4 linked regions of the Tamandua tetradactyla genome follow. The protein of the gene in region 1 purifies or fractionates together with the protein of each later gene. This does not show direct contact. Links are inferred from orthologs where the notes say so. Each region holds a gene or a part of one and is shown in the gene's direction. Other genes may lie near its edges. The genes, in order: POLR3B, UXT, CRCP and POLR3G.

The links.
Region 2: the proteins of POLR3B (region 1) and UXT purify together in Homo sapiens (affinity purification with mass spectrometry; 3 studies listed by BioGRID and IntAct, counting the BioPlex papers as one, with this or other methods). This does not show direct contact. The link is inferred for Tamandua tetradactyla from reciprocal best matches to the Homo sapiens genes POLR3B and UXT.
Region 3: the proteins of POLR3B (region 1) and CRCP purify together in Homo sapiens (affinity purification with mass spectrometry; 5 studies listed by BioGRID and IntAct, with this or other methods). This does not show direct contact. The link is inferred for Tamandua tetradactyla from reciprocal best matches to the Homo sapiens genes POLR3B and CRCP.
Region 4: the proteins of POLR3B (region 1) and POLR3G fractionate together in Homo sapiens (co-fractionation; 4 studies listed by BioGRID and IntAct, with this or other methods). This does not show direct contact. The link is inferred for Tamandua tetradactyla from reciprocal best matches to the Homo sapiens genes POLR3B and POLR3G.

Annotation. Positions count from the first base shown.
Region 1 is NC_135333.1:22,886,557-22,893,473, forward strand, and holds the start of POLR3B (DNA-directed RNA polymerase III subunit RPC2), read left to right. Parts: upstream 1-3,895; 5' UTR 3,896-4,117; coding exon 4,118-4,189; intron 4,190-4,371; exon of another isoform or gene 4,372-4,573; intron 4,574-5,393; exon of another isoform or gene 5,394-6,128; intron 6,129-6,917. UniProt on the Homo sapiens protein: Catalytic core component of RNA polymerase III (Pol III), a DNA-dependent RNA polymerase which synthesizes small non-coding RNAs using the four ribonucleoside triphosphates as substrates.
Region 2 is NC_135353.1:122,467,344-122,474,411, forward strand, and holds the start of UXT (protein UXT), read left to right. Parts: upstream 1-4,061; 5' UTR 4,062-4,127; exon of another isoform or gene 4,128-4,200; intron 4,201-4,304; 5' UTR 4,305-4,313; coding exon 4,314-4,417; intron 4,418-5,359; coding exon 5,360-5,441; intron 5,442-5,559; coding exon 5,560-5,627; intron 5,628-5,903; coding exon 5,904-6,011; intron 6,012-7,068. UniProt on the Homo sapiens protein: Involved in gene transcription regulation. Acts in concert with the corepressor URI1 to regulate androgen receptor AR-mediated transcription. Together with URI1, associates with chromatin to the NKX3-1 promoter region.
Region 3 is NC_135349.1:18,078,416-18,085,293, reverse strand, and holds the start of CRCP (DNA-directed RNA polymerase III subunit RPC9), read left to right. Parts: upstream 1-3,877; 5' UTR 3,878-3,989; coding exon 3,990-3,997; intron 3,998-4,249; exon of another isoform or gene 4,250-4,343; intron 4,344-6,878. UniProt on the Homo sapiens protein: DNA-dependent RNA polymerase catalyzes the transcription of DNA into RNA using the four ribonucleoside triphosphates as substrates.
Region 4 is NC_135347.1:40,811,041-40,818,020, reverse strand, and holds the start of POLR3G (DNA-directed RNA polymerase III subunit RPC7), read left to right. Parts: upstream 1-3,971; 5' UTR 3,972-4,099; intron 4,100-6,980. Other genes in the region: acyl-coenzyme A thioesterase MBLAC2, read right to left, coding at 2,926-3,379. UniProt on the Homo sapiens protein: DNA-dependent RNA polymerase catalyzes the transcription of DNA into RNA using the four ribonucleoside triphosphates as substrates.

The DNA of each region.
Region 1 (6,917 bases):
GCAACAGCAGAGGTAAATAATGTGGGGACAGACAAGAGTCAAGGTGAGTGTTCTAGTTTGCTAGCTGCTGGAATTCAATATACCAGAAATGGAATGGCTTTAAAAGGGGGAATTTAATAAGTTGCTAGTTTACAGTTCTAAGGCTGAGAGAATGTACCAATTAAACCAGTCTATAGAAATGTCCAATCTAAGGCATCCAGGAAGATACCTTGGTTCAAGAAGGGTGACGAAGTTCAGGGTTTCTCTGTCAAGTGAGAAGGCAGATGGGAACATGGTCAGGGTTTTTCTCTCTCATCTGGAAAGGCACATGGTGAACATGGCGTCATCTGCTAGCTTTCTCTCCTGGCTTCCTTTCATGAAACTCCCCCAGGAGGCATTTTCCTTCTTCATTTCCAAAGATCACCGACTGGTGGACTCTACTTCCCATGGCTATGCCATTCTCTGGTCTCTCAGAATCTCCTGGCTTTCTCCCTAAGATTTCCTCTTTTATAGTATTCCAGTAAACTAATCAAGACCCAGCCGGAATGGGTGAAGACACTTCTCCACCTAATCCAGTTCAATAACCACTCTTGATTGAGTCACATCTACAGGGAGATGATCTAATTAAAGTTTCAGGCATACATAGTGCTGAATAGGGATTAAAAGAAATGGCTGCCTTTACAAAATAGGATTAGGATTAAAACATGGCTTTTCTAGGATACATACATCCTTTCAAATCGGCACAGTAACTAATAAAGTATCAGCGGCAGAGAATTCACATAGAATCAAGAGGCTACTCTGGAGGTTGTTCTTACGCAAGCTTCAGTTAGACATTGCTACCTATCATAACCTGCCAAACCCCAACAAGGACCATTCCAGCCAATCCTAAAAAACACCTAGAGCAGTATATAAGATTCCACAAGGGTTCCAGGCATTAGAGTAACTTTCCAGAAACCTACAACTTCCAGATGAGTCTCTGGACCAGGTAAGTCATGAAACCTAGATGGCTCAGCCTCTCCTGAACATCAGATAGTTCCATCTCCCTACTCTGTATTAGTGACAGACCCTTCCGACATGAAAATGTTAGAATGGCTATAGCCCAAACACCCCTAAAGAACGGGATAGAAAGATTGAAGGTGATGGTGGAGTTACACAGAGAAGATAGGATTTAACAAAATGAATATGATGACTGAATCACTAAATTGATCTCTTTTAGTCTCCAGTATCTTAGAGCAGTTAAAAGTAAAAACCTAAAATTTGGACTTGTAACCCATGTCAAATTCTGAAATATTTTCTACAACTAATTGTGATGCTGTGCTTTGAAATTATTGCTGTTTTGTATATATATTATTTTTCACAGAAAATAAGAAAAGTCGATTATGGTGACAAAAATTTTTTTTAAGTCTTCTTGCCTCCTATATTCTGGAGCAGCTAGAAGTAAAAATTGGAGAGGATGGTATGGTAGCATATGAAACACTCTGGGATCTGTCCGGTAACTACTTGTTGACGAGTGCTTTGAAAACTATTGCTTTTTTATTTGTTTTATATATATGTTATACTATACAATAAAAAAATAAATAAAATAAACAAAATAATAAAGGAATAAAATCATCTCTGGTCTCACCAGTAGCAGATAACCAAATTAATATTTTTACATACTTGCATACCAAAGAGTCTGTCATGGTCAGGTTCATCTGTCAACTTGGCCAAGTGGTGGTTGGGCAAGTGCTGGCTTGTCTGTTGTGATGAGGCCATTTCACAGAATTAAATCATGATCATGTCAGCTGCATCCACAGCTGATTCCATTTGTAATCAGCCAAAGGGGCATGTCTTCTGCAATGAGTGATGCTTAATCTAATCACTGAAAGCATTATAAGGAAGATTCAGAAGAGACAGGCTCTTCCTGTTTCGGCTGGTGAGCCTCTCCTGTGAGGTTTGTCCAGACCCTCCATAGGAATTGTCGGCTTCACAGCCTACTCTGTGGATTTTGGACTCTGCGTTCCCACGGTCACGTGAGACACTTTCATAAATTTTACATTTGCGAGTGTTCCCTGTTGATTCTGTTTCTCTAGAGAACCCTAACTAATACAGAGTCTTAGTACAAATCAATAAATATGCGTTGAACATCCAAACTATCAAAAATTACCAAATTGAGTTTACCATGTGTATCTACAATTTTTAATTCATCTTTTTCTCACTTATCGTTATACTGAGAACTTTTCCATGTATTAAAATGTTACATTTTTTCTTTTAAATGTCAATGTTTCTGATTTTTAGCTCCAAAGAGAAACTATTTCAATCATAAAAATTACACATGCTTATTGTAAAACATTTAAACATTACTGGAAAGAATGAAGAACAGTAAATCACATCCTCCAGAGATAACCAGTTAAAAGTCCTTTCTCATAACTCTACCCATTATAAATACATGTAACATATAATTGGGATATTATTCATGTAGCACATTGTTCTTTTCCATCCCCACTTATCAGTAGATGATGCCATCTTTCTAAATTAAACACAGATATTTCCATAATTATTTGATAGATGCTTATCCATCAAATTACAAATATATAATTAGGGGTCCCATAATTACAATTATTCATCAGAGGACATTTAGGTTGTTTCTAATATTTTGTTTTTATAAATAATGCTTCAGTGAGCAATCTGTTCACCTTGTTTGTCCACATTTGTGTATCTTTTCAGTAATCTCCTTGGACTAAATATCTAAACAACTAAATTGCTGAGTCAGTGGAAATATATGTATTTTTACCCTCTAGAAATGACAAATATTGTACCAATGTGCTCTCTCACCAACAAAGTAAGAGAGTGCCTGTTTGTCCATACTCTGGGCCACATTTAATATTATAAATCTTATCCATACCAATTCGATGGGTAAAAAAGAATTTAGTTTCCATTTTAATTCTGAAGTTATACATATTTTTATATTTATGATGTTTTGCTTGTTGATATCTTTTGCCTAGATTTTTCTGTTGTTTTTTTTTCCTGTTGATTCGCATGCACTTGTCAATTACCACTACCAACACATTGCCTTCTGCCAACCAGTACTTTTTTTTTTAGGCATAAGTAGTAAAGTTTATTAAAAGAGAAGTTTATTAAAAAGAGAGTACACGTTAGAGAGGTTAATGTGGGCGTGCCCAAGGAAGGGACTCGCCAGCCAGTACTTTTAAAAAACTCTATTTATGGTAATTTTGTAAATTCTATATGGAAAAATTTCATTTTTCATGGAATCATAAAACAACGTTTAGAATTATTTAATATTATCAAATCTACCAGTATTTTTACTTTGTGCCTTTTGATTGTGTTGCCATCCTTTAAAGACTTTTCATCACCTCTAGGTTATGAATATATTCACTTAACATTTTCTTCTGAGGTTTTTTAACATTTAAGTATTTAACCCGTACAAGATTTATCGAGAAGCACATTTTTTAAAATACTAATCAGCTGTTCACCGTCATTTATTGAATAAGTCATCTTTTCCCCTACGGAATTAAAATACCATCTTTTCATACAAAATTTCGCCCTGTACATGTATTTATTTCTGGGTCTTCTGTCTGGTACATAACGCTGCCTTAATGACTGTCGTGTTACGCTCTACTCTCCAGTGTGGTGAACTCCTCCTCACTCCCATGACACGCGCGTACTCTAATTCATTTAACCAATCCCCCGGTTGATGTCGGGAAATGTCCGATTTTCCCATACTATACAATGTGACTACTCCTGGAATAAATTAAATGCATTATTTGCTTCGGTGGCTCAAGTTGCGCAAATCATCTGTTTACACTTTCCCTGAAGTTATTTTAAAAAACACAACCAATATGTTTTGTTGACCTCTAATACGGAAAGAACCCACGACGGCCGGGGGTTAGGACTACCCGGCCTAGACTTCCCAGCAACACCAGAGGGGGCAGTTCTCCGGCTCCGCCGCAATCACATCCGGTTCCACCGCAGGTTCGGGCAACATGCAGGCGGAACCTTTCTGTCGCACCTCCGACTAGCAGTCCAAGCGGGGACGGTTTAGGCCTCCGCGCACCGTTCTCCAAGCGTGCTGCAGTTTATTTGGTGCAGCGAAGGCGGGCTGGAAGGTTCTGGCTGAATTTCTTTCGCCGTTAGCAGCATGGACGTCCTAGGGGAAGAGTTCGGTAACCTAACCCCAGAGCAGCTGGTGGCTCCGATCCCGACCGTAGAGGTGAGCGCCCGGCACGCGGTTGCAGAAGGGCCCGGGACACGCTCAAGGAGGCGTTGCCCGGAGAGTTCTCGCTATGGACGGGAGGCGGGCGGGTGGCATCGCGCATGCTCAAAGCATTGCGCGTGCTTATACTTTTCCTTGGTTGGCCGCCGCTAGCGTGTGGAAGGGGTGAGCCCAGAGAGCTGTCAGTGGTTACGGAAGCCGAGAGGCCCTCCGATGGCGCTCGGGTTGGACCCCTTCCAAGCTCCTGTTCGTTTGTGTCCGAGAAGATTAGCTCTCGTATCCACCCTGTGGGGTCCTATTGCTTCTTCGTTTTCAGACATATCGAGAAAAACAGTAGGACCCAGGGAGCTTAGTCCACTTTCATGAGGTCCTCTAGCTGTGGTGCGAAAGCCAAATCGTCTGAATCTTTTACTTTCTATCTTGACTTGTCCCACTCCAATCTGTCTTCTGCTCTGTAGCCAGAGTCATCAGTTTAAACACACAAATATGGTCACGTCTCTCCCTTGGTTTAACTTCTTCAATTTCTACCCATTGATCTTAGAGCAAAATTTAAAGTCTTTATGAAGGATTACAAGGCTTTCCTCAGTCTGTCCGCTGCTTACTTTTCCAGCCGCTTTTTCCACCATTGCACTTTGTAGATTAAATCCTAGATATCTATCATATGACTCCCTCCAGAGGCCTTCCTTGATTCTTCCAGATGTTAGATCCCCTTAGTACTTGCTACGATAGTGTCTTCTCCATTCTGGAGACTAACATTTAGTTTTTCTTTCCACTAGAATATGTTTGTCTTATTTGTTGTGTGTCCTCCGTTCTTGACCTGTAAAATGTTTTTATTGAATGAATGAATGAATTAGATTGAATGAATGTGATGAGTAACTTTATTGCCTTTTCCAAAGCAATGGTATCTAGAATGGTTTTAAGGGACTCAGAGAATGCCATTTTACTCATTTTTTATTGCTGGGTGTTGTCTGCATTTTTTGCTTTATGAAGTAAAGCTATAATTTTAGTGTTGAACTAACAAGAATCGGGACGGTACTTTATAAGAGAATTTCTTTAATAACAAATGAAAATAACTTTTCCTTTCAGTTGGGAAATTGATATGTTTATTTACTTCAGTGCTTTCTCTGTAAGTTTTCCTACATAGGTGCTATTTTGCCTGTTAACCATACCTAATATATTTTTCTGTACTCTGTATGCTATCATAGCAACATGGTAGGAGAAATAACACAGCTTTGGAGTCATGTAATCACTTGTTTATTGAACAGATTTTATTGAGGGATTACTGTGGGCCAGGCAGCATACCATTCCCAGGGATTGTACAAATTCAAAATCTCCCTCCCTGTCTTCCAGGAGTTTATGGGTTAAAGGGGGAGACATGTACACATGTGGAATAACATATAGTGGATTCTGTGATAGAAGGGAAAGTCTTTGTTACAACTGCAACTGATGGGTAAAATGTGATGCTCGAACTGAGTCTTAACAGATGGGGATGAAGTGTTGTGGTGGGAGAGGCATTCTGAATAAAAGGGACGCCATGAGCAAAAGCCTGAAAGTATTAAAAAGCCCATCATGTAGTTTCATGTGGTTTGGGAGAAAGATGTGAGGCTGGAGAAGTATCCAGGGGTGAGACCACAGAGGACGTTATGCTGTAGAGTTTAGACTTCATGAGGATGGTGTGGAGGCAATGGAGAATGGTAAGGTGATGAATGACAGGATCAGCTGTGAACATGGAAAAGATCACTCTAGCTTGAGTGTTGGTCATGGAATGGAGGGAAAATGGCAACTTTAAAGTAGACTTAAAAGAAAATATCACAGAAGTCCAGGTAAAAGACTATGAGGGCCTCAGCTGCAGTAGCAGAGGATGAATGTGAGGAAATTTAAAAGGAGGTGGACACAGTGGAACTTGTTCTCCAACTGATCAAGAAGCATCTGAGAGGTAGGACTCCCTGGGGTTTTAATTGGTAATGACTGTATAAATGATGTTGTTCGCTGAGATTGGGAATAGGGCAGGCTGAAAGGAAGGGGTAAGTTGGGGGATCTAATTTTGGGTGTATTGAGTTTGAGTAGTTCCTGAGCCCTTAAGGTGTTGCTGCCTGGTAAACAGTTGGAGGAGACATATTCATACCTTGTGGGTCACTGTAGCTGTGATATTTACTCACTTATTCATTTATTCATTCATTATCTATTGCAGATCTTTTATGCTCCTGGCACTGTGGTAAATAAGGTAGTCAGGGTCACTGTCCTTGAAAGTGCTTACATTTGTAACTGGGGAGGGAGGTGGGAGATCTTGAAATGGGGATGTTAAACAAGTGGTCTTTCAAATCCTTCACACCCAGCACACTTGGGAGTGAGAAAAGAAGTGTCCAGGGATAGAACTTTGAGGATACCAACATTTGCAGAGTAGGCAGAGGAAAGGAAGACCAAGAAGGCATTCTCAGAGGTAGGAAAGGCATTAGAAGAGAATGTTGTCACAGGAGCGTTACAAGAAGGGAGTGGTCAACATGGCCGACTGCTGTGGAAAGGCTGAGGGGAGCTCTTTGGAATTGGAATTGGAATATTGGAAACATTGGTGACATTTGCTAGAGCAGTTTCGTTAGTAGATGGGTCAGAATCTTGACTGTAATTGGTAGAAGAAGGAAAGAAAAATGAGGAACAGAGAAGGTCCTCTCTGACTACTTGTTGGGAAGTTAGTAAGCTGAAGAGCAGGAGAAGAAAAGAGAAAGTT
Region 2 (7,068 bases), on another chromosome or scaffold:
GTCAGAGCTCTGAAGCTATGAAAGTAAGCAGTACCCCGTACAGGAACAGTTTAAAAAGTTGAAAAAGTGATCAGACATTGAGTAGAGATATGAATGAAGCTGATCTGGACAGGACTAAGGTATATAAGAAGACTGGGAAAAGGACAGTATCATTCATATCTTAAAACTTCGACTTCTGTGTGAGACTAAAGGGATAGATGTTTATTTGGGACAAAATTTATATTTTGGGTAGTGCATTTCCTAATTTAATTTGTGTGGTCAGTTTAGTTGAACACCTTAAGTACAGGGAATCTTGAATAGGGCATGAGATTTTGTTAGATTGTCCAGGTTAGTGTGATGTCCCAATAAATCCCAAAATGATTCAGACAGTGAATAAAGAAGTAATTGCCAGTTCTCCTTAGGGGAATGGGGAGAAAGGGGAAAAGATTCAACTTCCACATTTGGAGAATTTCTGATACTCTCACAAAGCAGTGGGGACAACCAAATCAATAGGCTGAGTCCCCAGTCTTGGGGTTCGCCCCTATGAAATTTATTCCTGCGAAGGATAAGCTAAGCCTACTTAAAATTAGGCATAAGAGTCACACACACACACACCCAGAGAACCTCTTTTGTTGCTCAGATGTGGTTTCTTTCTCTAAGGTGACATGGCAAGGGAACCCACAGCCCTTCCCTCCTATGTGAGACATGACTTCCAGGGGTGTAAATCTCCCTGGCAATGTGGGACAGAAATTCCAGGATGAGATGGGACTCAGCATCAAGGGATTGAGAAAACCTTATTGACCAAAAGGAGGAAGAGAGAAATGAGAAAAAATAAAGTGTCAGTGGCTGAGAGATTTCAAACAGAGTCAAGATATTATCCTGGAGGTTGTTCACACAAATTATATAGATATTCCTTTTTAGTTTATGGTGTATTTGAGTGGCTAGAGGAAAGTACCTGAAACTGTAGAGCTGTGCTCCAGTAGCCTTGTTTCTTAAAGATGATTATATAATGATATGGCTTTTACAAAGTGACTGTGTGATTGTGAAAACCTTGTGTCTGATGCTCCTTTTATCTATGGTGTGGACAGATGAGTAAAAAATGTGGATAAAAAATAAACAGATAATAAGAGGTACAAAGATTAAAATAAATTGGGTAGATGGAGATACTAGTGGTAAATACTAGTGGTCAATGAGAGGGAGCAGTTAGAGGTATGGTATGTATGAGTTGTTTTTTTTAAGGAGGAGGTTCATTCATTTTTTTCATTTATTCATTCATCGTACAAGTATTTTGGGTGCCCATTTGAACAAGTATAAGGCCTTTTACTAGGTTCTCATTTGGCCCCAGAGACAGGAAGAAATGCATGCCTTCCCAGAGAACTTATAAACCTTCCCTTTTGGCGTTTTCTGGTTACGGTATGGTTTAATCCCTAATTAGCACTGCATGGTTTAATTCCAAATCCATAACTCTTATATTTCCTCTGGCCACTATGATAAGCAGGTAGCTGGGTTTTCTATGGAGCTTGCTCTTGAAGTTGCAGAAATCCTCCCTGTTGTAGATATTTCATTTTTTATAGCTCATCCCTCATGAAAAATGGCTGTTGCCACTGTTGGAACAGAAGGAGGGATAATGACCAACCAATTCCCAAACCCAGTTTCACTGGGCCCAGCTTTGGGAAACAAACACCCCATAATCAAGCTGCTGCAACTGATTTTGAAATGTATTTACCAGTTGTATCCATTTTAAATTATTTTCTCTTTCCCTGCTTACAAATATATATTGCCTAAATAGATCTAGTTCAAAACAATCCTCATAGAGCACCATGATAAAACTGGAGATGGAGACATGATTTGTCTTTTGTAACAGCTACGCAACTTAAACTATAGAAGTGTCCTCCTCTTTATCAACAAAAGCTGCTCAAGAAAGGACTTGGTTTTTTGTTTGTTTTAATTTTAATTTTTTTAAAAATATATAACAACAAACACAAAATTCTTAAAATATGATCATTCTGGTCTACATATATAATCAGTAATTCACACTATCATCACATACGTGCATATTCAACATCATAATTTCTTAGAACATTTGCATCAATTCAGAAAAAGGAATAAAAAGACAACAGAAAAAAATTCATACATACCATACCCCTTACCCCTCCCTTTCATTGATCACTAGCATTTCAATCTATTAAATTTATTTTAACATTTGTTCCCCCATTATTTATTTATTTTTAATCCTTATGTTTTACTCATCTGTCATTAAGGTAGATAAAAGAAGCATCGGAAGCAAGGTTTTCACAATCACACAGTCACATTGCGAAAGCTATATCACTATACAATCATCTTCAAGAAACATGGCTACTAGAACACAGCTCTACATTTTCAGGCAGTTCCCTCCAGCCTCTCCATTACATCTTGAATAACAAGGTGATATCTACTTAATGTGTAAGAATAACATCCAGGATAACCTCTCGACTCCGTTTGGACTCTCAGCCATTGACACTTTATTTTGTTTCATTTCTCTCTTTCCCCTTTTGGTCGAGAAGGTTTTCTCAATCCCTTGATGCTGAGTCCCAGCCTATTCTAGGATATCTGTCCCACCTTGCTAGGAAGGTCCACACCCCTGGGAGTCATATCCCACGTAAAGAGGGGGAGGGCAGTGAGTTTGCTTGCTGTGTTGGCTGGAGAGAGAGGCCATATCTGAACAACAAAAGAGGTTCTCTTGGGGATGACTCTTAGGCCTAATTTTAAGTAGGCTTAACCTATCCTTTGTGGGGTTAAGTTTCATATAAACAAACCCCAAGATTGGGGACTCAGCCTATTGCTTTAGTTGTCCCCACTGCTTGTGAGAGTATCAAGAATTCTCCACTTGGGGAAGTTGAATTTTCCCCTTTTCTCACCATTCCCCGAAGGGGACTTTGCAAATAACTTTTTTATTCACTTTTCAAATCATCCTGGGATTTATGGGGGCATCACTCTAGACAAACCTTCAAAATCTTATGTCCTGCTCAAGGTTCCAAGTACTTATTGTGTTCAATTAAGCTGTCCACATAAGTTATATTAGGGACTGCACTAGTCAAAATATAAATTTTGTACCAAATAAACATTTTTTGGAAAGGACTTGTTTTAGTGGCATAATGTCGATGGATGAAAACGCTTTTTAAAATGTTATCCTGCTAGCTTACTCTTTTTTTCTTTTTATTTCTTTTTCTGGAGTGATGCAAATGTTCAAAAAAGATCATGGTGATGAATACACAGCCATATGATGATATTGTGAGCCACTGATTGTATACCATGTATGGACTGTATGTATGTTGAAGATTTCTCAATAAAAAATATTTTTTAAAAAAGAACGTAACAATAAAAAAAAAGCTTACAAATTTAAATAAAACACACAGGAACTATTTCTACTACGAGATAGCCAAACGTGAGTGGAAAACGTCATCGACCCTCCATATGACCTCCCTACTACAAGAGGCAATTAGAGGCAATTAGACATAACAGGTTAATGTCCACTTGAACCCCATTTATGGATTGTGGGCCGCAAAGCTGCAGTCATCAATGATGAATTTGAGACAATCTGACTCCGTTAAAAAAAAAAAAAGTTTAAATGCTCACACTCATTACCATTACCGTGATTCAAACTCAAATCTCCCAGGTGAGTAAAAATCAAATCCAGGTCGATAGGTTACATGGGATGTACTCCCTTCCCTGCAGACCAGAACCATAATTAACTTTTGCAGGTCTCTTTCCACAGCCCTTCCTTTTAAATATCAAATGCTTTACTCCCTTTCTCTATCTCTACCTGTGAGTCCCACCTCCCCCAGAACCCGCCAAATCCCATTAAACCCCACCCCTACGAGTTCTGCATGCTCCCCATAAGCTCCGCACGTAACTTTCATTGTCCCTACTAGCTGGTTCATTGCCAAAACAGCCCCTACTCGCACGCTCCGCAGTCTTCACTTCGCTTCGGATACATAAAGCTCCGCCCTTCTCTTCTCCGCTTTGGCCAGTCTTCTTCCGTTCAGGACCGCCCCCTCCATACCTGGCCATATGATTGGCCATCCGGCTTGCCATTACATCATTCATCCGCGCCACCCGGAAGCCGCGGTTCATACCAACTCGCCGTTCTTTTTCCTGGCGGTTCTAAGGTACGGGCCGCATTTGGATGTCCCTGAATGGCAGTGTCCCAGAGTTGGGAGGGACGGAAGGCGGAACCCCCAGGTTGGGTCGGACGAGCCCATTCCCAACGTCAGGAGGGTGGAGATGTGCTGGTCATGAGGCCGAATTGGAGTGATCAACATGTCTTCCCCCTCCTAACTGTCCAGGAGCCCATCATGGCGACGCCCCCGCCCCCTAAACGGCGGGCCTTGGAAGCCACGGCAGAGAAAGTGCTGCGCTATGAGGCATTTATCAGCGACGTGCTACAGCGGGACCTGCAGTGAGTGACTGGATACGGGGCAGGACGTTTGGAAAGCTCCACGTGGTGGGCGGGGTGTTCAGAGTCAGGGCCGAACCTTCTGATTGGTGAGCGGGCGTTTGGAGCTCGTCCCCTCGCCCCTTGCTATCCGGAAGGAAGGACTACATTTGGGGTGAGGTTTGGCTGGGACTTGGCGTTCAGAGTGGCAGGCACGTCCGCGCCTACGTAGCCTATGATATCGCGTAATGGTTCAGAGCTAGGTTTCTGGACCCAAGTTCGAATCCCGGTTCAGCCACTTGCCATCCGTGTGAATACCTTGTTCCTCGCCTCTGTGTGCCTCAGTCTCCCCAGAGGTGAAATGGAGAAGTAGATAAACCTCATGCAGTGGCCTTGGGTTTTCAATGAATCCTATCATTGTAAAGAATTTAGCATGAATGCTGGAAACATACTAGAGCCTCAACGAGTATGAAGAATTGTTATTAATGTATCATAATCCAAGCAGGAAGTAGAGTGCTCAGAACTAGGGCTATGAGAATTTTCTAGGGTAAAGATGGGACATTCTCATCGAGGAAGATATTTGGGTTGGAGTATAATAATAATAGTAATAATTAATAGCTATCATGTATGTAGAGCTTACTGTTTGGCAGTCACTATTCTAAGCACTTTATATGAAACACTCATTTAATCTTCCTAATGAATTTGAGGTAACACTGTCATCCCTGTTTTATAGATGGGAAAACTGAGTCCCAGAGAGGTTACTTGTCAAGGTCACACAAGCTAGTAAAGGGGAGAGCCTGGATTCAAGCCCAGGTAGTCTGACTCCAGAGGCCAAAATCTTAACTTCTGCACCAAAATGCCTCTTCATGGCGTGGTAACATGAGGGTCTCAGAGGGTCATGATATCAGGTATCCCCAGAGGGACAGGATCACGTATTGGTCACCAATTAGACTCTCACCCCATCAGAAAGGTGCTGGACCATCGTGACAAGGTATATGAGCAGCTGGCCAAATACCTTCAACTGAGAAACGTCATTGAAAAACTCCAGGTAAAAACACTAGGGTTGGGTACCTTTGGGAGATGGGAGAAGAAACTCCAGAGCAAGACCTGTCACCTGACATAAAATCTGACACCTGACCCCTACCTCTTTCTCCCTCACCCCATAGGAAACTAACCATTCGGAGTTATATATGCAGGTGGATTTGGGCTGTAACTTCTTCGTTGACGCAGTGGTGTGAGTGCCTACCCATCTACCTACCTTTGAATCTACAAGGTTCAGCATCCCCCCTCCTTCATTCAACAAAATATTTTTGAGCATCTGCTATATACCAGACACCATGCTAGGTTCTGGGGATGTGACAGTGAATAAAGTAGGACAAAAGTCTTGCCCTCCCAGAGCTTCAATTTGGGCCAGGCTGGGGGTAGGGAGGAATCAGAAAACATCTTAAACTGGCTGGTATGCTAAATGATGTAAAGAACTTTACACCTCCTCTAACCACTCTTTCATTAGCCCAGACACTTCACGGATCTTTGTGGCCATTGGATATGGCTTTTTCCTGGAGCTGACATTGGCAGAAGCTCTCAAGTTCATTGATCGTAAGAGCAGCCTTCTCACAGAGTAAGTTCCATTCATGAGGACAGTGTCTAAAAACACCACCATTATCAATACCCTTCTTCCTCTTCCCATGGCTACCATGGATGATACTTTAGGACCCAACTCCCTTCCTTCTCGGGGCTGGGGCTGAAGAAAGTGAGAATGCAAAGCTTAGCACCAAACACAGCACCTAATAAGCATTCAGTTATGGTCTTTGTATTGTTCATTTGCACAAATATTTATTGGGCATCTTTTGGATGTGATAATGGCATTGCACTCTTGAAGGACAGTGGCCTTATTTACACACAGGAGTGTTTAATGGTAAAGTGTCATGATGCCTGGAACTTTCATATGGTCCAGCAAAAAAAGCATGAGTTTGTAGAGAAAAAGAGAAAGTAGATGTAACAGATGATTAATGAGTTATGAATCTGGGTGAAGGGTTTACAGGTGTTCATTATACTATTTCATTGGTTCTGTAGGATTGAAATTTTTCAAAGTAAAAGAAAAGCTTCAAAAAATTTTTACAGTTGATTTGTTCAAATCCACAAAAGACCATATAACAAGGTCCATATATCACACTTGGTTGATAGGTCTTTTAGGTCTCTATTACTTTATTTCATTTTCTAGGATTGAGAACTATTTTGATGGCTATAGAAAACCAGATAGGGTTATATACAACCTTTTTCTCTCCCAGAAGTTTAGATGTGAATTAAAGGAGAAAAAGATGTGTACCCAGTGGGAGAAATGGGAGGGAGGAGGAGGTGTTTGTTTTCAAGAATGGTCTAGTAATAGTGATAAAAATAATAATAGCAAACATTTACATAGCACTTACTATGCCAGGATAAGCACTGGACATTTTTCACTCATTTAACCCTCACAACAACCCTATGAAGTGGGTACTATTATCCCATTTTCAGATGCATGATTGAGGCCCAAAAAAGGTTAGAAGTGGAGATGGGATTTAAACCCAGGCTTTCTGGCTCCGAATTTGTGCCCTCCAGTGGATTGAATTGTTTAATGTCTGAGGGTTCCCTGTTCATGGAAAGAAATACTCAACACTGTTTTTATTTTGTTTGGTTAC
Region 3 (6,878 bases), on another chromosome or scaffold:
TCGCATGGGCCACTTATGTGTTTGCTGAAGGAATAACACAAGGAGCCTCTTTGGCGCTGCCGGTTGGGACTGCTTTTCTCACAGGGGAGATACAGAGGACACAAGTCAGGCCAGTTGGGCCTGGGGTGGCATTCCATTCCCCTGGTGATTTTTAAAGTAAATGAGTTTGATGGAAAAACAGCTTGGAAAGGGTTAAAAGGCAGAAGTAAAGACCAGGGAGTCTGCCCCAAGGTTCAAAGATAAACAGTCTGGCTGAACTTGAAAGAAAAGGATGTTTTTAATACAGCAGGTGTTGCTAAAAGACACAAAGCAAGATTGCTTAGTCTAGCAAGAACTAGCTGACATTGCCAAAAGTGGTAAGCAACATAAAGTAACATTAGAAAATAGAACAAAGCTTTTCACATGCATATCTAGGGTATAAAAAGAAGTACAGCCCTAAATAAACTTGCCTGAACTTCTCTGAGAAGTTAGGTCCCCTGATCCCAGTCTCTTTCCTCTTTCATTCTGGGCACCGTCTAGCCCTGCGTTGTAAGTAACAGTAACATTAGTTATTTAAAAAATTTTAATTATAAACATAACACATTCATTGAAAAATTTTAAACAACAGAATGTATAAAGTTAAATGTTAAAAAGCCTCCACACTTTCCTTCCACTATTCATAATATTTTCTTTTTGTCTTTGTGTTTTTTTAATCATCTTAAGACTTATGATAACAAAATTTACTAACTCGTACTGATGGTCTATCTTCTCTATCTAAATCCTTACGAGTTGGCAAAAGCATCGTGACCAAACACACGTAATTCAGTGTCTCTACAATTTTATGTGGTTTTGAATAGCAGTTTAAAGACGACCTGAATTGTAACTTGGTCTGATTTAAGATAATAAAGAATGAAAAAGCAAAATTTAACTTGTCACACTGACTTTTGAAAACATTCAACTTTATAGATTATCTATAAAATGTGAGAAGGTTTCACACATTCACACATTCAGCATTCTTTATTGGGTTTTATACATAAACGACACCAAAATGCCTTTTGTTAATTAAAAGGCAACATTTCAAATATTGAAATTCAGGGACTTTTAATTAGATTGACACAGTTAAGATCAAAAAGATAAAGTGGACATAGCTACCTTATTTTTAGCACCTGCCTTTAAACAGGCTGAGGACACCAATTGAAACCCAGATGAGTCTTGCTCTATTCTGTGACAATGAAGAGATTTCCTAGTATTCAAGTATATTCATAACACCAATCATATAAATTTAAATTTAAAACCAATCTCCAGTAGATTGAACTGGTATTCACCATCTCTGTGAAAAGCTGAGCATTACTAATTCACTTAGCCTCAGTCCAGTTATATCTTTAGAAAGGGGAAATAGTGATAGCACTTGCTGAAACCAGAATTATATCAATTTAAAAAGCTTGATCACATTCATTTAACTATAAGCTAATCTTATTTAACTCAGGGCTGTCCAATAAAAATATACTATCAGCTATTCATGATCTGAATTCTGGTGTGTGAGATCAATTCAGATATGATACATGTAAAAAAGTCCCACCTATCTTATAATAAATAATGCAGTGGCCAATTATTACTCATTAGTAGCTTTGAGATAAGCTATCAAGCCTGCCCTTTCTGCCATCTTCTTACTGCCAGCAAAGATCATTTTTCTTCCAGGGATATACTTCTTGGGATTCTCCAAATACTCCAACAGTGTCTCCTCTTCCCAAGTGATGCCTTTCTTCTTGTTGGCATCTGTGTAAGAGAATCCAGGCGCCTGACCTGTCTTCCGCCTAGAGACCATGCAGATTTGGCCCAGTCTTGTGTTTCCCTCCCTCTTCCACGGTGTGGCACTGGGCACACTTCTGAACAAAAATCTTCTTGCCCTTCTCAAATTCACCCATTTTGAATTCACTCTCTTAGCACATGATACAAAGGTCCCCGCTCAGAAGCCGAACATCCTGCTGTCTCTATTAATATTTTTCAACCAGCTTTACTGGGGTAAAATTCACATACCATACAATTCACCCATGCAAAGTGTGCAATCCAATGTTTTTTTAGTATATTTACAGGGTTGTGCAGCTATCGCTATAATCTAATTTTAGAACATTTTCATCTCCCCTAAAAAAAAAAAAAAAAAAACCCGTACCCATTAGCTGTCAGTTCCCATTCTGCACCTCACTTCCTGCCTGCAGAACCTCCACCCCACCCTGCTCCCGGCTTCCTAGCTCCCAGCAACTGATAATCTATTTCCTGTCTATAGATTTGCCTATTCTGGACATTTCATATAAGGAATCATATGATGCATGGTCTTTTGTGTCTGACTTCTTTCACTTAACATATTTCTGAGGGTCATCTATGCTGTAATATGTATCAGTACTTCATTCCCTTTCATTGCCAAATGATATTCCATTGTATGAATATTCCACATTTTATTTATCTATTCATCAGCCACTATTAACAATTTAATATGCCTCCTGCATTTGTTTGTATTATCTGGGTTTGGATCTCTGTGGGGCAAGTTCCCAGGTGAATGACATTGGGTTAAGTCATAACTTCTCCAAAGCTTTGCCTCAGTTTCCTCAATTGTAAAATGTGAATAATAATGGACTGTAACTCAGAGTACTGTTGTAATAGTTAATATTTGATGAGCACTTACTATGTGCCAGGCACTTTATAAAGATGACATAACAGATCTCTAATTTACAGACTAGGGAATTATGGTGGAGGGAGGTTAAGTCATTTCCACAAAGTCAAACAGCTTCTAGGAAAGCCATGATGGTAAATAGGAACAAGGCTGGCCGACTGCCAGGTCAGCACCATTCACTGTCAATCTCATGGTGTAAAAAGTGCTTACTTAGGGCTTGGCAAAGAGAATGAACTTGGTAAATGAAAACTAATAGAACATGAAAGACTTAAAAAGCAGAAACCACCCCCAGCAATTGCCTCAAAGGCAAAGGCATCTGCCACTGTTAATATTTTGTCATATTTCCCTCCTGCTTTAAGAAATATTTCAAGCATACTAAAAAATAACAGGAAATAATGAAATTGACACCCACTCTCCCAACCCTGTTCTTTCAAAGACATAAAATCTTGCAGATCAGGTAGCTCTGCCTTCCATATCCCGGGTATTTTTTAACTCATACATTATTTTCTTTAGATAATCAGGATCATATCATATCATTTGCATCTTTTAGAAATCCTATCTTGAGCATTTTTCCAGCATCATTCTGCAACACGATTTTTCTTGGCTGAATACACCATACTATACGGCAGAAACATATTATTTCTCGATTCTACATCGTGAGCATTTATGTTATTTCTCAGCAAAAAATCACTACACTTGCTTCTTTATTTAGGGAATCCGATAATTCCCTTTTCCCAAATTCCCAGAAAGGCCCAAAGTCAGAGGCTGTTCCTTTAGTTAAAGCTCTTCATAAATTTTTTGTGAAATAGCTCTCAAGGAAGAAAGGGAACAGGGAGAAGGGCTTTTTTTTTCTCCATCTTTAAAAACATTTTATTCAATTATAACATCCCATATAACCAGCACCCACATCAAGAAAGAAAGTAACTCCAGCAGCCACAAGTCCCCTCGGCCCGTCCCCATCATCACTGCTCTCTGAGGGGTGGGATTCTAAATCCGCAAAGGCCCACCAACTCTATCAACTCTTTGGAATCTTAGTTTATTAATACTCTGATAGGACCTAGGCCAAGAAAACGTGATAAGTTATTTCTGCAAACGCTGGACAGTCTGAAGTCTGCCTGGACGAAGAAAATACAGTCCCCTCGGGAAAAGGAGCACCGGGCGGCGCGGAGGGCCCAGCAAAGTCCTCCAGGCTCCCGGCGTGCAGCGCGCCCATCCCGGCGTGCACCGCGGCTTGCTGTGCCGGCGATCCTGCGGGCTCAGAGAGGAAGGCGGAAACAGCAGTGGTGAAACTGTGTGAGGTTTCTTGTCCTGCGGTATCCAGAGACGACGAGGCGGAGGCAACATGGAGGTGTAAGCCGCCCGGGATGCGTTCCCGCCTTTGGGCGGGGGCCCAAGGGTGGGGGACGGTTACACTGCGGGGAGCCGGGAGGCGTGGAGATGGGGCGACCCTCCTCCCCGGCTTGCGGTGAGGGCGACGGCCCAGTCGTAGAAGGGGCAGTCGGGTTTGGGTAGGAGGGGAAGAAAGGGACTTTAGACTTGCTCCTCTGAACCTTTCTTCCCCACCTTCCCACCTCCTCATCTCCATGCCTGGGACATGAGCAGAATGCCATTGGGCCTGGCTGTCTTTCATTCGTGTCTCCTCTCTCCTGCGGTCATTTACACGTGTTTCCTAAGTCCCAGTGGGGAGCCCGGCCCGGTAAGTTAGCGGCGATTCAGGAATAAATCCGTGAGTCCACCAGGAGGGGAGACGGTTAGGTGTTGAAATAGATCCTAGGGGTAGTAGGCTCCCACTCGGGGGAACCGTAACTCTGAAGAGGTGCTCAGTGAGTGTGATGAGGAGCAGTTAGCCCTGTGAAGGAAGGCGCGTATATTCTGCGGAGAAGGGAGTGCGTGAACCAGTTAAGGGGCTGAAGAAACAACACTGGTGGGGGGGGGGGGAGGGGAGAAAAGAGTAAGAGCTGTTCTAACGATTTAGCTCCACATTGTCTTTTCTCATTTTTACTCCTAGTACCATGTGCAAATGGAGGTGTTTTTTTTTTTTTTTTTACTTTTCATGTGTATTTTTACTTAGTTGACATTAACTTGCAGGTACACATATATTGTGTTCCTTACAGCACCCAGTTTCCTTTGTTCTGTAACTTGTTTAATGGTTATATATACCGCAGTTTTTCCAGTTTATTTGATCTTATCTTGACTTTTAACACAAGATGTATATATAACTGAAATAAAAGCTTCATGAAACAACGTTTACCTTTATTGTATGCTATGCTGTACACTCTGACACTGACTCTTCTATTTCATGAAAAGAATGCTGACTTGGTTGTATATATGTTACCAGAATAAAAATTAAAAAACAACCATGAAACTGTACAACGCAAAAAGTGACCCCTGTTGCAAGCAATAGCTATAGTTAATAGTGTACTTATAATAATGTTTGTTCATCAGTTGCAGCAGTTACCACACTAATGCAAAATGTTAATAGGAAAAACTATGGGAGGGAGGTATGTGGGACTCTACTTTCTCCATAATTTTTCTGTAAACCTGTAACTGCTCTGTTTTAATTTGTAAAAGCTGTCAGAATGTGATATACCAGAAATGGAATGGCTGTCAAAAAGGAGAATTTATCAAGTTGCAAGTGTACAGTGCTACGGCCATGAAAAATGTTCAAATTAAGGCAAGGTTATAAAAATGTCCAAACTAAGGCATCCAGGGAGAGATACCTTGGTACAAGAAGGCTGTTGAGTTCCTAGTTTCTCAGATGGAAAGGCACGTGGCAAGGTCTACTAGCTTTCTTCCCAGACTTCTTCAGTGGCTTCCCTGGTGGTGTTTTCTTTATGTCTCCAGAGGTCTCTGGCTATGTGGGCTCGGTTTGTTCTAAAGCTTTTTCCAACATGGGTACCTCTTGAAGGACTCCAGTAAGCAACCCCACCTTGAATGGGTGGAGATACATCTCCATGGAAGCCATCTAATCAAAAGTGACCACCCACAATTGAGTGGGTCACATCTGCATAGAAACAATAAAAAGATCCCACCCAGCAATATTAAAAGGATTAATGGGCATTGCTTTTCTGGGGTACATGACAGTTTCAAACTGGCACATGCTCTCATAAAAAAAATAATGGGAAGAAGGAAAAAGAAACCTAATTTTTTTTTTACCTAATTGGTTTTGTAACCCATTAATGGGATACAACTGCAGCTTGAAAAACACGTATGACTGTGATCCAAGCCATTATTATCAGTTTCTCCCTATTGACTGGAGAATTTCCTGTCAGCATAAAAAACTTCTATTTATCCATCTTAAAAATAAAGTCCCTTGTGGCAGAGTTCTCGACTGCCAAGCCCGAGACCCAGGTTCAATTCCGGGAGCCTGCCCATGCCAAAAATAAAGAGATAGATAGATGCATAGAATCCCTTGTCTCTTATTCATTTACGCTCCATTTCTATTTCGCGTTGTAACAGAACTTCATGATAGTTGTTTAGGCAATCCCTTTGTACTGTCTAAACCATTCTGTTTTGTTGTTGTTGTTGTTTTTACCTCATTAACTCCATTTAAATGGCTCTTGTGATGATTACCCAAGCCCTCCAGTTTGTCAAATCCAAAAATTGGTTTTCTGTTGTTTACTTTCTTGATCTCTCAGCAGCAGTTGATACGGGTGTCTGTTTCTTCTAGAAATATTTACTGGCTTTATGACATGCTCTCTTGGATTTCCTTCTACATCAGGTACTACTTTTCAGTCTCCTTTCCCCCCATCCCTTCTTGTTGGCTTCTGAGTGTTGAGGTATCTCAGAGCTCAATCCTGGGAACCCTTCTCTCCACATACTGTCTCTTGGCTATTGTACCTACCTCTGCTGATGAATCTACGAATTATAATTCTAGCCCCTTTCTCCTGAGTTCTGAACCCCAATTCTCCACTACTTATTTGGCATCTGCATTTACACGTTGAAAAGGCAACTCGGACTTAACATTTTCAAAACAGAAATATTGATGGTTTCCTCTCCAGCCCAACCTGCTTATATCTCAGTTATTAAGACCATCATCTACCTAGTTGCTAGGTTTTCTGACTTTCCTAAGTGAAATGGTCTTGTAACAACCTGTTCACTTCTCTCTAGGAGTCAGTGACTTACTGAAACTAATCAAGAATTTTGTAGCTAGCAATTCATGGATGTTCTAGTTTGCTAGCTGCCAGAATGCAATATCCAGAAACAGAATGGCTTTTAAAAAGGGGAGTTT
Region 4 (6,980 bases), on another chromosome or scaffold:
TTGGCTCCTGATTTCCTAGTGCAGGCACAGGATAAAACTAACTCAGTCCCTATATCTGCTTTCCAGATCTGCAATAGTTCCCTGGTCAATATGGATTTATACTTAAAACAAATAACCCACTATCCCTTTCTAATAGTCTTAATGGGGTTTTGGGAGGGAGCCAAATTACATGGGTCTATTTAATCTGCTACCTTCTTGGAATCTGTATGTTTGTTTTTAACCTCTCTAAGCAATTTAAGTCTACTGGAACCACTCCTCTGACACAATATTTACAATCATTGTAGTGTCAGTTCAGATAATATCTTGGTACTCTGGGCAAATTGCTTTAAACATGTATAAACGTTCTTCACATCACTTGATAGCACTTCATATTATTTAAATATTGTGAAAAACAGGCAAAATGATATCTGCCCATTTCAAGAGGAAACTGCTATATCAATCTAAAGTATATTACTATCTTCTTATAAGTAGATATTATTTCACTATTAGGGTGAATTGCTTTTGCATCAAAGATATACACTGGATGATATAGCTGGTGTCTTGGCCTCTTTGTACCTCATTTACAAGTCAGCTTTTGAGTTTGGAATACTGTGCACAGATTTATGCTTCTCCATGACAGGTGATCCTCCATACACTAAATGAAATGTAATAAACAAATGACTCCAATCTCCTTGCATTCTAATGAAAGCAGTGAAGACTTTATCCTGTTTGGGTTTGTGCTATTTGTGTTTGTATGTGTGCGTGTGTGTGTAACTGTTTATAAATTTTTACTATAAATATTTTATATCTTTTTCCAGTCATCTGGATCCTTAATAGCAAGTTAGAATTTTTGAAGTAATTTGTTTGCCACCCTGCCCCCCCGGAAAATGTGTGTGTACCATTTTATGACATTGTTGGCTAGAATGAACCAGACTCTATTTTTTATTCAAAGCTCTGCCTCTCTTTGGAGACATGTCATGAGAATAAAAATGTACACATTCTCTGAAAAAAAAAATAGCAAGTTAGAAAGCCACATCATTCAGAAGAGACAGGAAATTAACATACCTGAGAAGGGAGGAAATTAGATACTACTTGAGAGTGTGAGACAACCAGCTCCTAATGAAGAACAACTTTTGATAACACAGTATTTTCACCTTCAAAGTGCTTGGTAAATATTAAGCTTTCTGATTACACCTTCAAAAGTCTTAAAGCTCCACACAAGTAACTTGCAGGTCCTTTGCAGTTTCAAAATGCTACATTCTACCATCAATTGGAATTCAGGAAACCTGGGTTTAATCTCAGCTCTTGATCAAACTGGTTATGTTTGATCTGCTTGGGACTCCTGTTTTCATCTATAAAACAAGGGAGTTTCACTTGTTGATCCCAATTATTCTTTTGATCTATAAATCTCCCTTGGTGCCTTCAGAAGTAATTTATTCTTTAAAAAATTTAAATACATTTAATATTATTATAAACATATTTTGGTCTAGGTGGGATATAATTCACTGGAATCAACTAATTCTGAATACCTAGTAACTGCATGTAAATCTCACCTCTAAAAGTTTGAATTTTATCAAGAAATACATAAATTAAAAGGACATTTAATGTGAATGTACTTTTTTTCATCTTGAACTGTTATGAAAAGATGTTTTGGGTGGTGTGGGCAATTTATAGAATTGTGTTTTCTATTTTTTAATATTGCAAATTAATGAAATCTTGTAAGATAAAAGTGCTTATTCTTTATTTGGCAGTATGGCTGGGTCAAAAAGTGAGCTCTGTCTGGTACCTATTGTACTTCAACAAGTGGGTCTTTCTACCTTATAGAGGGATATATTGGTAGCAACTAAAATGGTTTGGAAAGGGAAAGGAAAAAGGGGATTTCATTTTACAGAATTATCGTAATATATTTACGGGAGGAGATTCATGTATGTTCAGTTTGCTTGGATATACTGCACCTTGGCTCCAATCCATTTTGTTAACTATTTTGCTCGGTAGACTTCAGCCAAGTCATCTAACTGGGTGTCAATGGCCTCATTTCAATTGTGTTGTGAGGGTAAAAAGAAGAAAATGGAAGCATCCTACAAAGAAGGAAAATTTAATAAACCAAACATTGCTACTATGGCTATTTAGCTCAATTATTTAAGCACCAGCGTAGAGGGTTTGAGGCAGGGGCTGACACCTTCCTCTATTTTGTTTTATTCCATGAATTTCTTTCTGAACCCCATTCTTTCACAGAGCCAGAAAAGATCAGGATTACCTAGGCATTAGACGACATCTCTCTCCTCTACCGGAAGCAACATCCTAATTAATTATTCTCAGGTTTGAGACTCAGACATGTTTTACTTTTATGTTCGCAATCACGCTTTTTTTCTCGTGAGGCAACATCAAGAACAGAAATCTATTTTGAAGATAATGGTGCTCGATCACATTGGAACCGCTACTCTCTTAATGGTCTTCTAAACCTACAGGTGGTAATCGCCCACATGCAGTGGTGACCAAGCAGATGAAGTCAGCAGTTCTCAAAAGCATAGCGCATGGCATGCTCTCTTCCTGAGGTGTCACTCCTTAGAAGTCTTCTCGTTACAAAAGCACCTAGAAATGTCAGACAGGTGCCCGGAAAAGCACTGGGAAATCCCAGCCACAAGTCCCTGTAGCGCTACTACTGTTAACGGATCGAGGAAAGTGACTAGGGGGTGGGGACGGCTTTCACTCGAGCAGCGCAACCGCTACACAGTGGCCGAAGCCGGGCTCGGCAAGGAAAGCTGCAATGGCCTTGCCTCTGATCGGGTGGGCTTTTACTCAAGGAGTGCTGCAACTGAAGTGGTGTTTATGCGACGTGCCAAAACAAGCCCCTTACAGCCACGCAGGTCTGCAACATGCATCCCTAGGGCCGTCTCTTCCCCCATCCCTTCCCTTAGAGAGCGCGCGCGCATGGGGGCCCCTTACCATCCTGCAGGACCAGGGTGGGCTGCACAGCCTGCACTCGGAACTGCCTGGCCCTCCAGCCGGGGCTGGGTGCCCGCACCACCTCGCTGTCGGACAGCCAGGTCACCGTCTCAAAGTTGTCCCCACGAGCGAGAGCCTCGGCCTCGGCGTGGTGCACCGCCACTCGGTCAAACTGGTAGAGGCCGCCGGCGTGGTCGAAATGCACGTGCGTGGCCACCGCCAGCAGCGGCCGGCGCGCCGCGTCTTCCTTGGCTCCGCGGTCCTGCAGGAGACCGGAGGAGTACAGGTACTCCGGGAGGCTGCGCAACCCCAGGCCCGTGTCGATCACCACGTCCTGCTCCGAGCCGCGCACAAGCCAGATGTTGGCGCGGTTGCCCGACTCATAGAAGCGTTCCTGAATCCAGAAGATGCCGTCGCCCAGGGACTTGTGGGCGTACCACTCGAGCGCTGACATCGTGGGCAGGGGTGCGGCCGGGGGTGGGCGGGTGTGGGCGTGGGAGCTTCCCGCAGGCTGTCCGGAGGAGCGGCGCTGCGGCGGTGTGGAGCGCGGTGCCCACAGGCCGGAGAAGCGCAGAGCGAGGAGGGGGGCGGGGGCTGCGGAGATACGCGTGGGGAGGGGGGAGCAGGAAGGACGCCTCGCACCTCCCGCACCCTCCCACCAGGTCCGCAGAGAGCAGAGGATTCGCTGCCCGCACCCGGACGCAGGAGCACTAGCTGTCCAGCACAAGGCGGGGGAGGGGAGGCGTCAATGCAGGGGCCGCTTCAACAGAATGGAGATCCAAAAGGCGATACTTTCACCACCTCGCGAGGAGAGGGGCACTGGGGGCTGACTGCAGAGGCGTGGGAAGTCCCGGGTCTGTCCGCCCACCCGCGCAGCACTGTGCTCACTCCCAACCGGCGCCGAAAGAGTCAGGCCAAGCCGGTTGGAAGAAAACTACGGCGCCTGCCAAGGGCTAAAAAACCTTTAACCCAGGAGGTGGGGCCTGGCTGCGGGCTGGGCGGGGCTAGATGGCCGGGCTCAGAACGCGGGCCTGCGGCCGCGTGGAGGGCGGGGCGCGCTGCTCCAGAGGTAGATCCCCCGGCCGGCGGCGCCGGCTCCCTCCATCCGCACCCCTTCCTTGCCGGCCGGCACCTCGGCTGCAGTTTTGCCCGAGCCGGGAGACTTAGTGAGCAGGTAACTGAGGAAGCAACCGGGACCCTGGGAGGGGACGAGGTGGTTAGGGGGGAGTTTAAAGAGGCACATGGAGTGGGTGGGGGAAGCCAGGCGTGGAGATTTAAGGTCCTCTGGGAGGAGAAATGTTGAGAGATAGCTTTATCCTCTTCTGCTCCATTCAAAATCTTTTAGTTGTGGTTTCTGGATCTTACTTGGTCTCCACTTCCTGGGACCAAGTGATTTAGGGGGGAACTTATTTACTCTTACTGATGGTAGGAGATTTACCAAATCCTGTGACTATGCGATTTTTCAGGTACTAGTCATTGCCGCAGACTTGCCCCCTAAGGACAGATTATTCAGGATCTGTTTTTAACTGTGGGCATTTTACCCTTCGTGGGGAGGGAGTTTGTTAAGATTTTTCTTCTTTTTGAAAAGTAAAATTCTTTATTTTTCTTCACCTCCCCTCGCCCCTCATTTTTGGTTAGTTGGTTCGCTGTTGGAAGAGAGCAAGGAAAGTTGGTAGGCATGCCCAACCAAGGAAAGGTGGAGGCAGCCAGCCCTTCTGACGCCTGGAAAAGTGAATAATAACTGGGTGTGGTCCCGCCAGCCACGTAAATCACCTCTGTTATTAACACCCGGTGCCTGCAACCTCCCCTCTCCTTATCTGCAGCTTTTGAAACATCCATTTAGGCTTAGAAAATTCCCTTGAGAGCTTGATTTACCTCCCCACTCAGTCAGGAAAAATTATTAAGGGACCCATGAGACAACATTATAAAAGATAATTATGGAAACCCTTACTCTGGCAGTTACTAATAAGCCTTAATAGAAACAGAGGTATATGCTCTTCTACATTTTTAAGGCATTTGGTGGGGATGCGACCTTTCTGAAGATTTTACTAATCCTTGGAGGTTATCCAGTCACCACCTAGGGGGGCACTTTTATGTGCATGACCCTGAGCTAGATGCTGTATGAGGAAAATAATTGTGTGAGAAAGACATGATCTGAGTTCTCAAGAATGCGAAGGAAAACAATATCTGTACACAAATTTTTGCAATACAAAGCAAATATGGGGTATAGACCACAGAAGGAGTCGAAATTAGGTGCAATAGAGTACAGCTAAAAGATGTTTTTATTAGGACATTCTCAGCAGGGAAATACAGCGCTCCCAGCAGTTCGGGTATTTTTCATCTAGGCAGAAAGAAACCGTTGGAGTTGAAATGAAATGATATCCTTGTGAGACCAAAATCTCAGCAAAAATTCACCCAACATTTATTGTATTTTTTTGCCAGGCTCTGGTTAGGGATAGGACATAAAAAGAAGAATAGGTTTTTATAGAGACCCTATGCATTTACAGATCCCTCTCCTTATATCCCATTTTCTCCCTAGATATCCTTTCCAAATTCCTTGCATGGTTCCCTCCCCTACCTTCCTCAGGGAAAGCCTCTCTCCCTTACATTCTTCAGGGTGCTCAGATATTACTGAATGAAGAAAAGACTTCTTCAACCATCCTTTCTATAGACGGGGTGTTCCCAAATCTAGTTTCCACTCTTTCCACTGTAGGCCTTGAGTTTAATTTAAATTTATTCTCCATTTCCTATACTAGATTATGAATTCCATGAGAGCACAGACTTCGTTTTGTTCATTGCTATGTTCCCAATGCATAGAAGATGTCCTGATTCATAGAAGGTGCTTAGTAACTACTTGATGAATAAATGAATGAAGAGACATAATGGGGGGACAGGCAAGAAATGAACAATTACATTACAATTCTAAAACCAGCCATAGAAGCATGTACTACTTGGTAAACGCTGAGAAGGGAGAGGACTACCTCTGTGTAGGGTGTTGAAAATAGTCACAGAGAAAGTGACATTTTCAAGGAGTCTTAAAAGGATTGCTCGGGCTTCCTCAAGTGGATGTGGGAGGACACTCCAGGCGGAGGGTACACTGTGCAAAACTAGGGTAGCAGCGTTTGCTGTGGTTAGAGTCTGGGATGCAGAGGACTAGAGGCAGAAAGTTAGACTCAAAAAAACTCTCTTGGGTGTTTATAAGGTTGAGAGTGACAGGTCAAGATATGTTTTGTAGAAAGGCAAATGGAGAGTGCATTGAAAGACTGTCCATGGGAAGTTTGTTCTGTTTTAGAGGTTCAGGTGAGAGACCATGAGGGAGTAAACTAAAGGAGAGGTGAAAGAAAGGGAGTGTGTGGGAGAGCACACAGACCTGATAGTCTTCTATAATTAGATGAGGGAATGGAGAGAAAGGAGGTGAGGATGACTATCAGGTTTCTGATTGGGGCTACTAAGGTGTCATTCATCAAGAAAGGGGCTGCAGATAGTGAACAGGTTTGCTGGAAATTTCAGTTCAGGACACACTGAGTTGAGATATTTGTAAGATACATAGGTAGAAATATGCAGATGGTCAAGATAGAGTTCTTAAAAGAGGAGAGAGAACAAGGCTGGATTTAAAGATTGGAGAATTCTTGCCATGCTGGAGACCTGAGTTTGATTCCCAGTGCCTGCCCCTGCAAAACAACAACAACAAAAAAGATTGGAGAATTCTCCAAAGAGGTTAAGTGAACCTAAAGTGGATGGACTCCCTCATTGGGAGGTAAAGTGGATAGACTCACTGGGAAGAGTTTCTAGAGTAGTGTCACCGCTGTGGGGCATGAACTGGAGGTGTACATGTTTCCTAACGGCTCCCAGGCTCAAATGATTATGGAAGTTGCTTCCCAGATGCTCAACTTTTGTATGTACTCCTTTCTAACGTTCAGAATTCACCTACCTTAGAGGCTGGAGGTCTACATCTTGCTAGTTTTCCATTCCTAACTTATCTTTCCCATTTGTCTTTTTCCATTTTACAAAAGAAAGGCATACCTCTTATTCACCCTGGATTTGGTGCATTGCTT